Arabidopsis thaliana: one gene and its partner. The protein of the gene in region 1 interacts with the protein of each later gene in a pairwise test. Each region holds a gene or a part of one and is shown on either strand. Other genes may lie near its edges.

Region 1 (6,676 bases):
TGTGATCATCTGATATCTCTGGTTAATTTCCAGTTCTTTTGTGTTTGAGATATAGTGATACATTGTTCTTTGTGTAATGGTTACTTCTTTTCTGTTAGAGAAAGGAGACTACAGAGGTTTACTCAGTGGATGCTGATGGAAAGACGCAACTTGTAAGTTCTTTGTATTCTTCAACTTTCCAATTAGATATTGTCATGTTCTTATAACACTATGTTGTAAAGACGCTAGTGTTGTTGTAGACTTTGAGATATATGTTTGGAGTTTTATGTAACACCCTTTCTCATATATTGTCAAGTTAACACAAATGATTTCACACCCTAGTATAGCAGTTTCCATCTTGGTTGATCAAAATGGCCTTTACAATTGTCATGTTCCGTTCCTTATTTTGGTATCATTTTGGATAAACTAGGATCCAGTAGTTGCTGGGATTGAAGAAAAAGTTTCTGCGTGGACTTTCCTCCCAGGAGGTAACTTTACTTATCTTGGTTTTGTAATCTACGGAGACTTTGTGATTGCTCTTGGAAGGTCTCTTTTCTTGTGGCCAAACTGCTGGCTTATGTTTCTCTCTTGACGCACATTTTTCAGAAAATGGCGGCTCTATCAAGGTAAGAAGTTACACTTCTGAGAAGTCAGGAAAGAAGTTGGATTATTTTGGAGAGGAACCTAGCTCCGTATTGCATGAATCTTTGCTGGCAACCGTCGTTCTCTACCTCTCAAACACAACTCAAGGAGGAGAGCTTCTCTTCCCAAATTCAGAGGTCAGTTTGATTTCTAACCTGAGAGGCAAAAAGATGACTTTTATTTGGCACACCACAATGAATGTTGAGTTCTCCTTTTTTTCCAGATGAAACCCAAAAACAGTTGCTTGGAGGGCGGTAACATTTTAAGACCAGTAAAAGGAAACGCAATTCTGTTCTTCACCAGGCTCTTGAATGCATCTTTGGATGGGAAAAGCACTCATTTGAGGTGCCCTGTGGTGAAAGGAGAACTGTTAGTGGCAACAAAACTGATCTATGCGAAGAAACAAGCAAGAATTGAGGAGAGTGGGGAATGCAGTGATGAAGACGAAAACTGTGGACGATGGGCTAAGCTTGGGGAGTGCAAGAAAAACCCTGTCTATATGATTGGCTCTCCTGATTACTACGGTACCTGCAGAAAGAGTTGTAACGCTTGTTGATTCTTCAATCTTATCGCAAATAATTGAACATTTTCATACTCAAGTACTTGAGCTGTTTTTGGTCTATAAGATAGAATAAATAGTGAATAGTTAAGGGTCGTGGTGGTAATTAATTCCTCTTGGCCATAGGAGAAAAGAATATACTCACTTAGATCTTCTTTGATATAACTAGAAGTCTTTGTCTATGTTGTTATCTATGTTTCTCTCGAATCATAAATTTGCATCTTGCTGTTTCTTACGCAGCATAGTCCCTTTCTCTTGCTAGTTCCAACATTTTTAAAATTGCAATTTCCTATAAATACTAGATATTTTAAAAACATATCAACCAGTGTACTTGTTGGCTAACCAAAAAAAACAAACAAATGTTTTATCACAAGTTAGAGCACTATTGATGAAAAGTTGGACTAGTTTAACATGTTATGGTCCCATCGAAGAGATTATGATCTAAGCCCAAAATTTCATAGTTTTTAAAAAATGGTAATCAAAAGTTAAGTAGTTAAGTATACAGGAAAAATTTTAAATTGTAATATTTTTTCCTATAAAAATTGGATATTTATCTGGAGAAAATAAATACTCCATTTGGTTCCATCAATTTTGAAAAAAAATCAGAAGAAAGAAAAAATTAGAAATTGTATCACTCTCCTATCATCGGACCAACAAGATCTAGACAATTGTTCATGAATCATAATTTTTGTATGTCTATCCCAATAACTTTCTTCAAACATAACAGTCTATTCTAATATCTTACATGTTAAGAAATAATAAAATAAAGGATTGATAAAGAAAAAAAAAAGTTTTTTCTTTCTTAGTTATTTTTAAAACAAAAATACAAATTTACTGATCAAATATTTGCTGGATTTTTTTGTGATTTGAGCCTCAAGGGTTGTTTTGTTTGCCCGTACTAGGCCTTTATAATTTTTCTTCCAGAGCTCTTTTGCCTCCTCCTCCTCTCTCCGAAATTTTCTCTCATTTTTCTCTCTTCTCCTTTTTTGCGTCCCATCACTTTCTCTGATTTTCTCGGCGACTTTCTTCCGTCCCAAGCTCCTCTGAATCCCCAGAAGGATCGCTCTCGATTCTTCTCTTCCTCCTATTCTCCGCCCGATCTGTTACTGTTTTTTTTTTTACTGGTACGTGATCGGACTAACCATTCTCTTCTCATGAACACACACTAAATCGATTTGAATTCATTCCTTCGTCTATACATCACTGGTATTTGATTAGATTTCAAACCGCGAATACTATGATTTCAATTCCGATTTTTCTCTGTTAGGTGGCTTAGTCATGGAGGAAATTAGGCATCTGTCTGTGTTAGTGATTTTGACGCTATTTGAATCGAATACTGTTGATTTATATAGTTGCTTAGGGGAAGAATCGGTTCAGTATATAGGTGCTTTGTTTATAGGAATTTGTGTTTTGTGAATGTATGTTGCAGTCGAATTCAATGGAGCTTGTGAAACAAGATGGGAATGATTCTCTCGATATGCTTATCAGACGTGCGGTTGGAAAGGATCCGTTTCTTTCCTTCCCTAGACCTGAAAATACTCCTGTCCAGCTTTTTCAACTTCTCCATACCTTAGAACGTCCAGGTAATGTCTCATTGTCTCTCATCTTTTTTTGGATTTGACATTTTCACTGACCAAATACTTTGGAATTTGGTGGATTGAGTACTCTGTGGATATATCGTTTTGGTCTCGAGGGGTTTATCATATTAGCTTATTGAGTTTTTTTTAGATCCAAGTGATGCTTGAATTACATGTGGCCTAGGGTATGGTACATGGACTTTATTTGATGTTCTATTTCGTTCCCAGGCTGGCCATTGCTGACCCCTTTGAAGATACAAATGCAGAAGTGTGAAAAGTGCAGTAGGGAGTTTTGCTCTCCTGTGAACTTTAGAAGACATAACCGCATGCATCGCCGTCAAAGAAAGCCGGAAAAGGTTTGCTTAGTCTGAGCTTAACTATACTTTCTTCCTTTTATGTCTTTACTGGTTGCTTTACTCTTTTCTTTGAAGTCATCTGAAGTTTGTGTTTAAATGTTACCAGGATTTTGGCAAAGAGAGGGATGCGCTGGGAGCCTTTTGGAATAAGGTAGTTTTCCCTCTAGTAGTCTTCTCACAGTTATTGCCAATTCGATTAGTTTTTCCATCAGGTACTGATCTCTGTTGTTATTTCAGCTCTCTGCAACTGATGCAAAGGAGATTCTCTCAGTAAAGAGCATGATGCTTGAGGTACTATGATTCCCATTGATGCTTTCCCTTTTACCTTTATCTTAACTTAAAACGCATGGTGATCCTCACATACGAGTGTGGCATAACATGTTCTTCAGGCCCAATTCTAATTTCATTGTTGTTTGTCACATCTTGTCTAAGGGTTTGACTTTTTATGAATGCTTTATCGCTCTTTTTTCTTCATTAGTGAAAGGTGTGATACATAATAAGCATTGTCATAAATGTTTCCTAGAATGCCATATGACTTCATCAGGGTTATGGGATTCGTTTCCAAATAAATACTTTTTCATTAAACAAAAGTAAGAGTATACCATACCAGATTCGTATACATACACTCACAGGCTTGTTGAGTATGCATATCTGATCCATGATGTACCTTTCTTACCTTCTTTTCTCTCGCATTATGCATCATGGACCTGTGTCCTGATTAAAATGATTTGTAGACTAACTCGAGATGCTTTGTTTGGATTCTTGTAGGATATTCCTGGGGCATCAGTGGAGTCAGGATTAATGTCACTTATCGAAAAACCAGGCTATACTGCTCTGCCACAATATTATCTAAGAGCTGGTTCTGGCCTTTTGGTATGAATTGCATCTCTCTCTTGACGGTTTCTTTTTCCCTGTCTAGATAAACTATCCTCAATGTTCAACCTCATGGCTGATATATGTTCCTCTTTCTCCAGGATCTTCTCCAGGCTAGACCACCTAGACTTCCAATTTCTTCGCAGGAACTTTTTAGCATTCTTGATGATGCAAGTGAAAAAACTTTCCTGTCTAGCGAGGCTGCACCAATGCAAAAGTACATTTTTGACGGGGAAATAGGAAAAACTGTACTGGAGGCAAAAAATGTTGTTGCTTGCGCAAGCTTCCTTCTGGAACAGCGATTGGTAAATTTTTCCTTCAAAGTTTCACCATTCCTCTCTAGTTGGTAAAGCGAAGTGTCTAATACGAGAACTTTACTTTTCATGTATCCATTACACGCGATTTATCTTTATATTCTTAATGTGAAGATTAAAGCATGGCTTGCTGACAAAGATGCTGAAGCTCTGAGGTGCCAAAATTTACTGGTTGAAGAGGAAGAAGCTGCTCGAAGAAGGTAAGTGCTTATTAATTGCAATGCCAGTAATATAACGTTGCTGAATCCACTAAGTGTTGAGTCTAATTCACTGGTATTATGTTCGGAGCAGAAAAGCTGAGCTCTTGGAGAGGAAGAAGAGGAAGAAGCTAAGGCAGAAAGAGCAGAGAGAGAAGGACCAGAAAAAAGATGCTAAGGAAGACGAGAGCACCACATCAGAGGAACAACAATATCCAGCTGAGCCATCAAGCCCTTTATCTGTAGCTTCTGATTCTGAGGCACAGACACCAGATTCCTTACCAATTGATGATTCTTCATCCCTCGAGGAACCTCAAGTTTTGGAAACTAATAATGGAAGAAACAGTGAAACGCAAGTGCCAATGGTTGATGGCTTAGACAATGGCCAAAACATGGAAAGGCGAAGTGGCCGTAGGCAAATGCAAAGATCACAACAGGGAATGCCGAATGGGTTCCATGCTGATCATGCACCAAACCTTGGAGGCATGCGAAAGAATGGAACCAACAGAGACGCAAGAGCCAATACTACTAAAGTTTGGAGCCGAAAATCCGATAACCCCAAATTGATATCACAACATGCAGCAGTGACTCAGCAGGATCAGACAAAGAGCAGCGAATTTATAGTTGGATCGTTGAGTGTATCAATCCGAAACAGTGGCGAACATAACCAAACCAAATGCAGTGAAGGGGAGAGAAGAACAAAGACTGTTGAGGTGAAACCCGCATCTGAGCAATCAACTGTAAAAATATGGAGACCAGTGAGCAGTCAGGGAAGAAAAACCTCAACAGTCAATGGAAACACAGACAAAGAAGATAAGAGATCAAACCCAACTACACCCGAAGTGAAAAACGCTCATCACATAAGCTTGCAGTTTAACAACCACGAAGCAAAGGCGTTTCTTGCAAAGAGTAAACCTTCTTTTACCCTTTCTTTTTATCTTAATCTCCCTATCGTTTATATTTTGGAAGTTGTTTACTCAATCTGAATAAATGGCTTGTCAGGATGGAAAGAGGCAACCTCTGCAGAACACGTGACATTGGTTCTGTCTCAGGAAACCGACATCTCAGGCAACAACACTCACGAGTCCTCAAATGGTGTTATAACCGCAAGATCAAAGCTGAGGACGAAAGCCGAAAAGGGCACAAAGGTAAAGTATGTTCCAAAACAGAGGATTCCTTGAAAACTTGAAAACAAAAAGACAAGCCTGATTCTGGACCAGAGTATCATTCTTTTTAGGTATACCAAAAGTGCAGTGTTAGCGAGCGAGACAGATATTTTCTTTGCTTCTAGAGAGATTTTTTCCCATTTTAAGAGTCTTCATTCTTTTCTTTTTTTGACTTCATATTCTTGGTAGAAAGAGATTGTTTTGTTATTTTGTTGACCTTTTTTTTTGCCATTTTGAGGGTTTAAGATTTGAAACTGAAATGGGGTTCTCAGATCTTTTGTGCAATGAATTTTTTTCTCAACACGCACACCGCGTGTAGAGCTCGCCTTTCTAACTCAAAAATGTAAGACAATATAGTAAAGAGATGATTTTTATGTTTATACATAACCAAGAAAGAATACAGTTTCTTTTCTTTTGTCAATGATAAGTCTACCATTTAAGTGTTAAAACTATTTTATATAATTAACAGTACAAAGAACAAAGACACCTACAATACCAAGCTATATATATGTATAGTTGTTAGACCCCAATCTCTTACCATATCACTGACTTTGCTTCCCATGTTAGAGGTAATGAAGAAGGTAAAAGCTATTTCTTTGTGCTAAGTATGTCCAGAGCGTAAGACTGGAAAGAAAGTCCAACTGTTTCTTGGACTGTGATCACCTTTTCCGGCGACCTTCTCATTCGCCCACCACTCCGATCGAATTTTCTCTATCATCTCTTCATTGGTGCTATCAAACTTGAATTCTTTGTTAGAGCCTGTAGAAAACGATCTTAGCTTCTGACTCTGTTCGCTCTCTGTTTCTCCCGACGTTTTACAACAGTTTGGTCTTAAATGTTCGCCGCTTGCTTTTTCATGTGAACCGGAACGGTTTAGCTTGCTTGCAAGACACCGTGCAACGTCTTCACCAGTCAACTCGAAAGAAACTCTGTGAGGAACCACGAGAGCTTCATCATTATGCCTTGACGACCCGTGGTCCGAATTGGCTAAAGACGCAACCTCAGAGATCTGA
Region 2 (4,540 bases), on another chromosome or scaffold:
TAAAATTCATCGATTTGAATGGTTTAGAATGGTCCGAAACTTTTGAAATGTCTATTATTGATTTTAAAAGTTAGCACCGCAACCGTCCGTAAATATAAGATTTGTGAATTGTACTATTATTGATGTTTTAGGTTAAAAATGGTGTGTAAGCAAAAGAAAAGAGAGATTAATTGGGACAAAAAATCACACGCGTGAGTCTTAATTTCGAGGCGACGCCAACGTAAAGTCCAATTTCCCACTTGCAGCAAATTGCGCCTGAGATCACGTGATGCTTTCGTTCTCACGTGGCTCTTCTATCTTGCAACTTAATTATCACTTAAATCACTTATTGAAGAAGGTATTATTTCATCATTAAATTAAATTATCACTTAATTATATCACTGTTATTGTTCCAACGGTATTTGTTGACGGTTGGAGGTTTCGAGCATTATTAAGATGCTAAAATTGTCAAATTTAGTTTCAACAAAATTACTGAATTGAAAAGAGAAAACACTATTTTAGAAAACGTTTTTTTGTTAATGAAGTGTGTTAGTGGTAATTTTATGAAGCCACTCTTTCATTTTACTCATAACATCATCCATTTAAGTTCGGAGAAAATTCAAATGCAAAACATTTAGAAGTATATATTTCAAACATTTTTATTATAACAATAATTTTTCTTAACATTTCAAATATATTTATATTTTTGCGTAGAAATTTGAAAATATCACTTAATAAAACAAAATAATTTCTCTAAAACATCTTAAAGTGAAACGGAAGGAGTATAATAAAAATTGAATATACTTGCATAACAATTGGTCTTAAATGTTTTTCGATAAATCTATTTGTATAAGCATAGTAACTTAATGGTATAGTAGAAGTACTAATCGATCTCAGAAGGATGTTAACACTTTTTTTCTCAACTAATTTTCAACGACTGTTGCAAAAAGAAGGAAAAAACGTAAACACCGCAAAAATGGCAAAAAATGCGAATTGTGGCACTAAGGACATGTGACCTGGTTTCTTTGGCTAAGAACAAATGCACCTTTAACTTCTGCTCTGCATGGAATCTTCAGTCTCCACGTACGAGTCCAAGTGTCGTGCGAATGTTAATATTCAAACTCTACAATAATTATCATCAAACAATATAACCAATTCAAGTATTGATTTGTTTCCAAAATAACCGTTGTACTTATGCTTACGCAAGTCCGCAAGTTCATATTTGATATGCTTCTGTCTAGAACAGCTCTGCCCACAGTACTCCGTAGTTCGTCCGTACTCGCTACCAAGAAGAACAAATTCAACCGTATAAATGTTTATGTGGGTTTTGACCCAAAACACTTTGTCATAATCCTTGCTCAAAAAATCGTTAGGCGCTAGTCGAACGATGAGGATAGGTCTATCACCTAACAAAAAAATCAGAGATTATACGAAAATTAATCGGAAATTAAGTTTAGGGTTATTTAATATTTTTAAAACATATTCCTCCATTACAATTAAGAGAATTATATAACATTGTTTTTAGAATTGTATTAAACACATGAAAACAAGATTTTAAGTTCAAATTTATGATTTTTTCATACAAATTAGAACATAAGTTTGATGTTTTAAATTTGGATATTTAAAAAGTTGGATATTTTTAAATGTTTATCTTAAAAAATAAAAAAAAATGAAAAAAAAGTTTTGGACTAGGCATCCTCTAGACAGGTTTAAGCGGATCTATGATGAATAAATCAGATCAACGATTAATCTTTTCGATTTGGACAAAATTGCGGTAGACTCTATCCGATCAGCCGACTTTTTGAACAAGGGATTCATAACTATTCTTCGAAACATTTCACTAGTTACAACATTTATATTCAGTTTTTATTCAATTATTTTTTATACTTCTTTTTTTATATATATTTGGATCAAATATGTATCTTATATAGTGGGAGTCAAATACATTTTTTTAAAGTCAAATACGTTTTTTTAAAAGTCAAGTACATTATTTTAGGATTATTGATGTACAAACAATATTTTAATCTATCTTCATTGAACAAGCCCTCTATATAAACGGTGAGAGTTGGGTGGGTATTACCAAGGTGAGGTTGAGAGCATCTTCCAAAAGAGAGAGTGTTTGTGTGTGTGAGAGAGAGTGAGTGTGAGTGAGAGAAGAAAAAAAAAATTGAGAGATTAAAATTTGAGTGAAATTAGGGTTTATTCTCTTCTTGCTTTCTTTGCTTCGTTTCATCTTCAAACCAAAAGAAAAAAACTCTTCCATGTCCTGTCTATTCATCAGTCGTCTTTCTTGAGAAAACACAAATCACGATTTTCTTATGAAGTGTTGCTTTATGAGTTTATATTTTGCCAAAACTCATCTAAAACGACAAACTTTTGTTTAAAATTGTATTTGAAAAGTGTTTTCAAGAAAACGATATCCATCAAAAATATTATGATTTTTTCTGTCAATTAATATTCTTTCATTCTTTTATAGAGTTGATCAACTTCATGGGCATTTTTTAGTTCCCTCAAGTTTTGATCCTCTTATTTTATTTCTTTTTTTGTTGATAAATTTATTTTAGTTTTGATCTATGGAGGTTGCTTATTTCAAACCTCGTTGATCACTTTTATTTCTGTATAAACCAAAAAACCAGTCTTTGAATTTTTTCTAAAAAGACAGGTTTTATTTCTTCAACCATTTTTTAATTATAATTTTATATAATCTTGTTTTTTGTAGTACATTTTTTTTTGTATTTCAGGAAACTCCGATGGCGGATCTCTTCGGTGGTGGCCACGGCGGCGAGCTTATGGAAGCACTTCAACCTTTTTACAAAAGTGCTTCCACGTCTGCTTCAAATCCTGCGTTTGCGTCCTCAAACGATGCGTTTGCGTCTGCCCCAAACGACCTATTTTCTTCTTCTTCTTACTATAATCCTCATGCATCTTTATTCCCTTCACATTCCACAACCTCTTACCCGGATATTTATTCTGGATCCATGACCTATCCATCTTCATTCGGGTCGGATCTTCAACAACCCGAAAACTACCAATCTCAGTTCCATTACCAAAACACTATCACTTACACTCACCAAGACAACAACACTTGCATGCTTAACTTCATTGAGCCGAGCCAACCGGGTTTTATGACCCAACCGGGTCCGAGTTCGGGTTCGGTTTCAAAACCGGCTAAGCTCTATAGAGGAGTGAGGCAAAGACATTGGGGAAAATGGGTCGCGGAGATCCGTTTACCCAGGAACCGAACCCGACTTTGGCTCGGAACATTCGACACGGCTGAAGAAGCCGCGTTGGCTTATGATCGCGCCGCGTTTAAGCTTCGTGGTGACTCGGCTCGGCTTAACTTCCCAGCTCTCCGATACCAAACCGGCTCGTCTCCGTCTGATACCGGCGAATATGGTCCTATTCAAGCTGCCGTAGACGCTAAACTAGAAGCCATATTAGCTGAGCCGAAGAATCAGCCGGGCAAAACGGAGAGGACGTCGAGGAAACGAGCTAAAGCCGCGGCTTCTTCAGCTGAGCAGCCGTCAGCGCCACAACAACATTCCGGGTCGGGTGAAAGTGATGGGTCGGGTTCACCGACTTCGGATGTTATGGTGCAGGAGATGTGCCAAGAGCCAGAGATGCCATGGAATGAAAATTTCATGCTCGGCAAGTGTCCTTCTTATGAGATAGATTGGGCTTCAATTTTATCGTGAAAAATTAGGATTCAATTCATTTTTATTCATTTTAACTTGTTTGTATTTTCTTTTAAACTTTAGGGTTATTAGCTGTGCGTAAAATTTGTAATTTAGCATTTTGTATGAATGTAATGCAAGTGTGTAAATTATGGACAGCTCAAGCTTTTTTGTTCATGCCGTACCATGTAGACCCTTCTTCTTTTCTCTTAATTGAAATGAATATGGTTAGTATTACTACTATGAATATATTGTAACACATTAGAATCGTGAAGTTCCATTCTGCGACAGGACCATTGTGCTTAGCTTAGAAATGATTAAAAAGTAAATTAGTCTAAAAGGGAACAATATAGTGAAAACTTAAAATTTAAATTGCTAAATTTCTAGCTTAATATTATAAATTTTGGTCCTATTTTGAAGAAGTCAAAAGAGAAACACAAGAGTGGAAGAAAAGGATCCTTGATTGAACTTTACGTGGTATAAAGATAACCTCATACAAAGTGCCTACGTTGACGACATTCTCATGCTTTCTCTTTAGAATAGACCGAGTGATAGATAATAAGTAAAAAAAAAAGTAAAACAATTATCAAGTCTTTAAGTTAACACAAAAGATTAGATTTCTTTTTTTGTGTTTAACAATGGTAACCAAAGTGAGTTTTTTTTACGAGCAAACGTTGTCAAATGAGAAAGGAAGACTTGGATGATAAAAGTGTCCATGCAAATATAGAAACCAATTGCCAAGCCAAAGGAATGAGAGAATGCACATATATTAGGCTTGCACATTCGGGTACCGGTTTGGGTTCGACTCGAGTATTTGGATTTTGGTTTCGTACTAGGAATCGAGGTACTATTTGGGTATTTTAAAATTTTGTTCGGGATTGGTTTGG

What was found.
Region 2: the proteins of AT4G25610 (region 1) and AT1G36060 interact in a two-hybrid assay, tested with the Arabidopsis thaliana proteins (one large-scale study listed by BioGRID).

What each region holds. Positions count from the first base shown.
Region 1 is NC_003075.7:13,061,183-13,067,858, forward strand, and holds AT4G25610 (C2H2-like zinc finger protein), read left to right. Parts: upstream 1-2,044; 5' UTR 2,045-2,304; exon of another isoform or gene 2,305-2,484; intron 2,485-2,609; 5' UTR 2,610-2,618; coding exon 2,619-2,763; intron 2,764-2,985; coding exon 2,986-3,113; intron 3,114-3,219; coding exon 3,220-3,264; intron 3,265-3,350; coding exon 3,351-3,404; intron 3,405-3,881; coding exon 3,882-3,986; intron 3,987-4,087; coding exon 4,088-4,291; intron 4,292-4,414; coding exon 4,415-4,500; intron 4,501-4,591; coding exon 4,592-5,406; intron 5,407-5,499; coding exon 5,500-5,678; 3' UTR 5,679-5,734; coding exon of another isoform or gene 5,735-5,788; 3' UTR 5,789-6,046; downstream 6,047-6,676. Other genes in the region: AT4G25600 (Oxoglutarate/iron-dependent oxygenase), read left to right, coding at 1-21, 99-152, 410-467, 586-758, 845-1,177; AT4G25620 (hydroxyproline-rich glycoprotein family protein), read right to left, coding at 6,265-6,676.
Region 2 is NC_003070.9:13,453,852-13,458,391, reverse strand, and holds AT1G36060 (Integrase-type DNA-binding superfamily protein), read left to right. Parts: upstream 1-2,055; 5' UTR 2,056-2,729; coding exon 2,730-3,674; 3' UTR 3,675-3,896; downstream 3,897-4,540.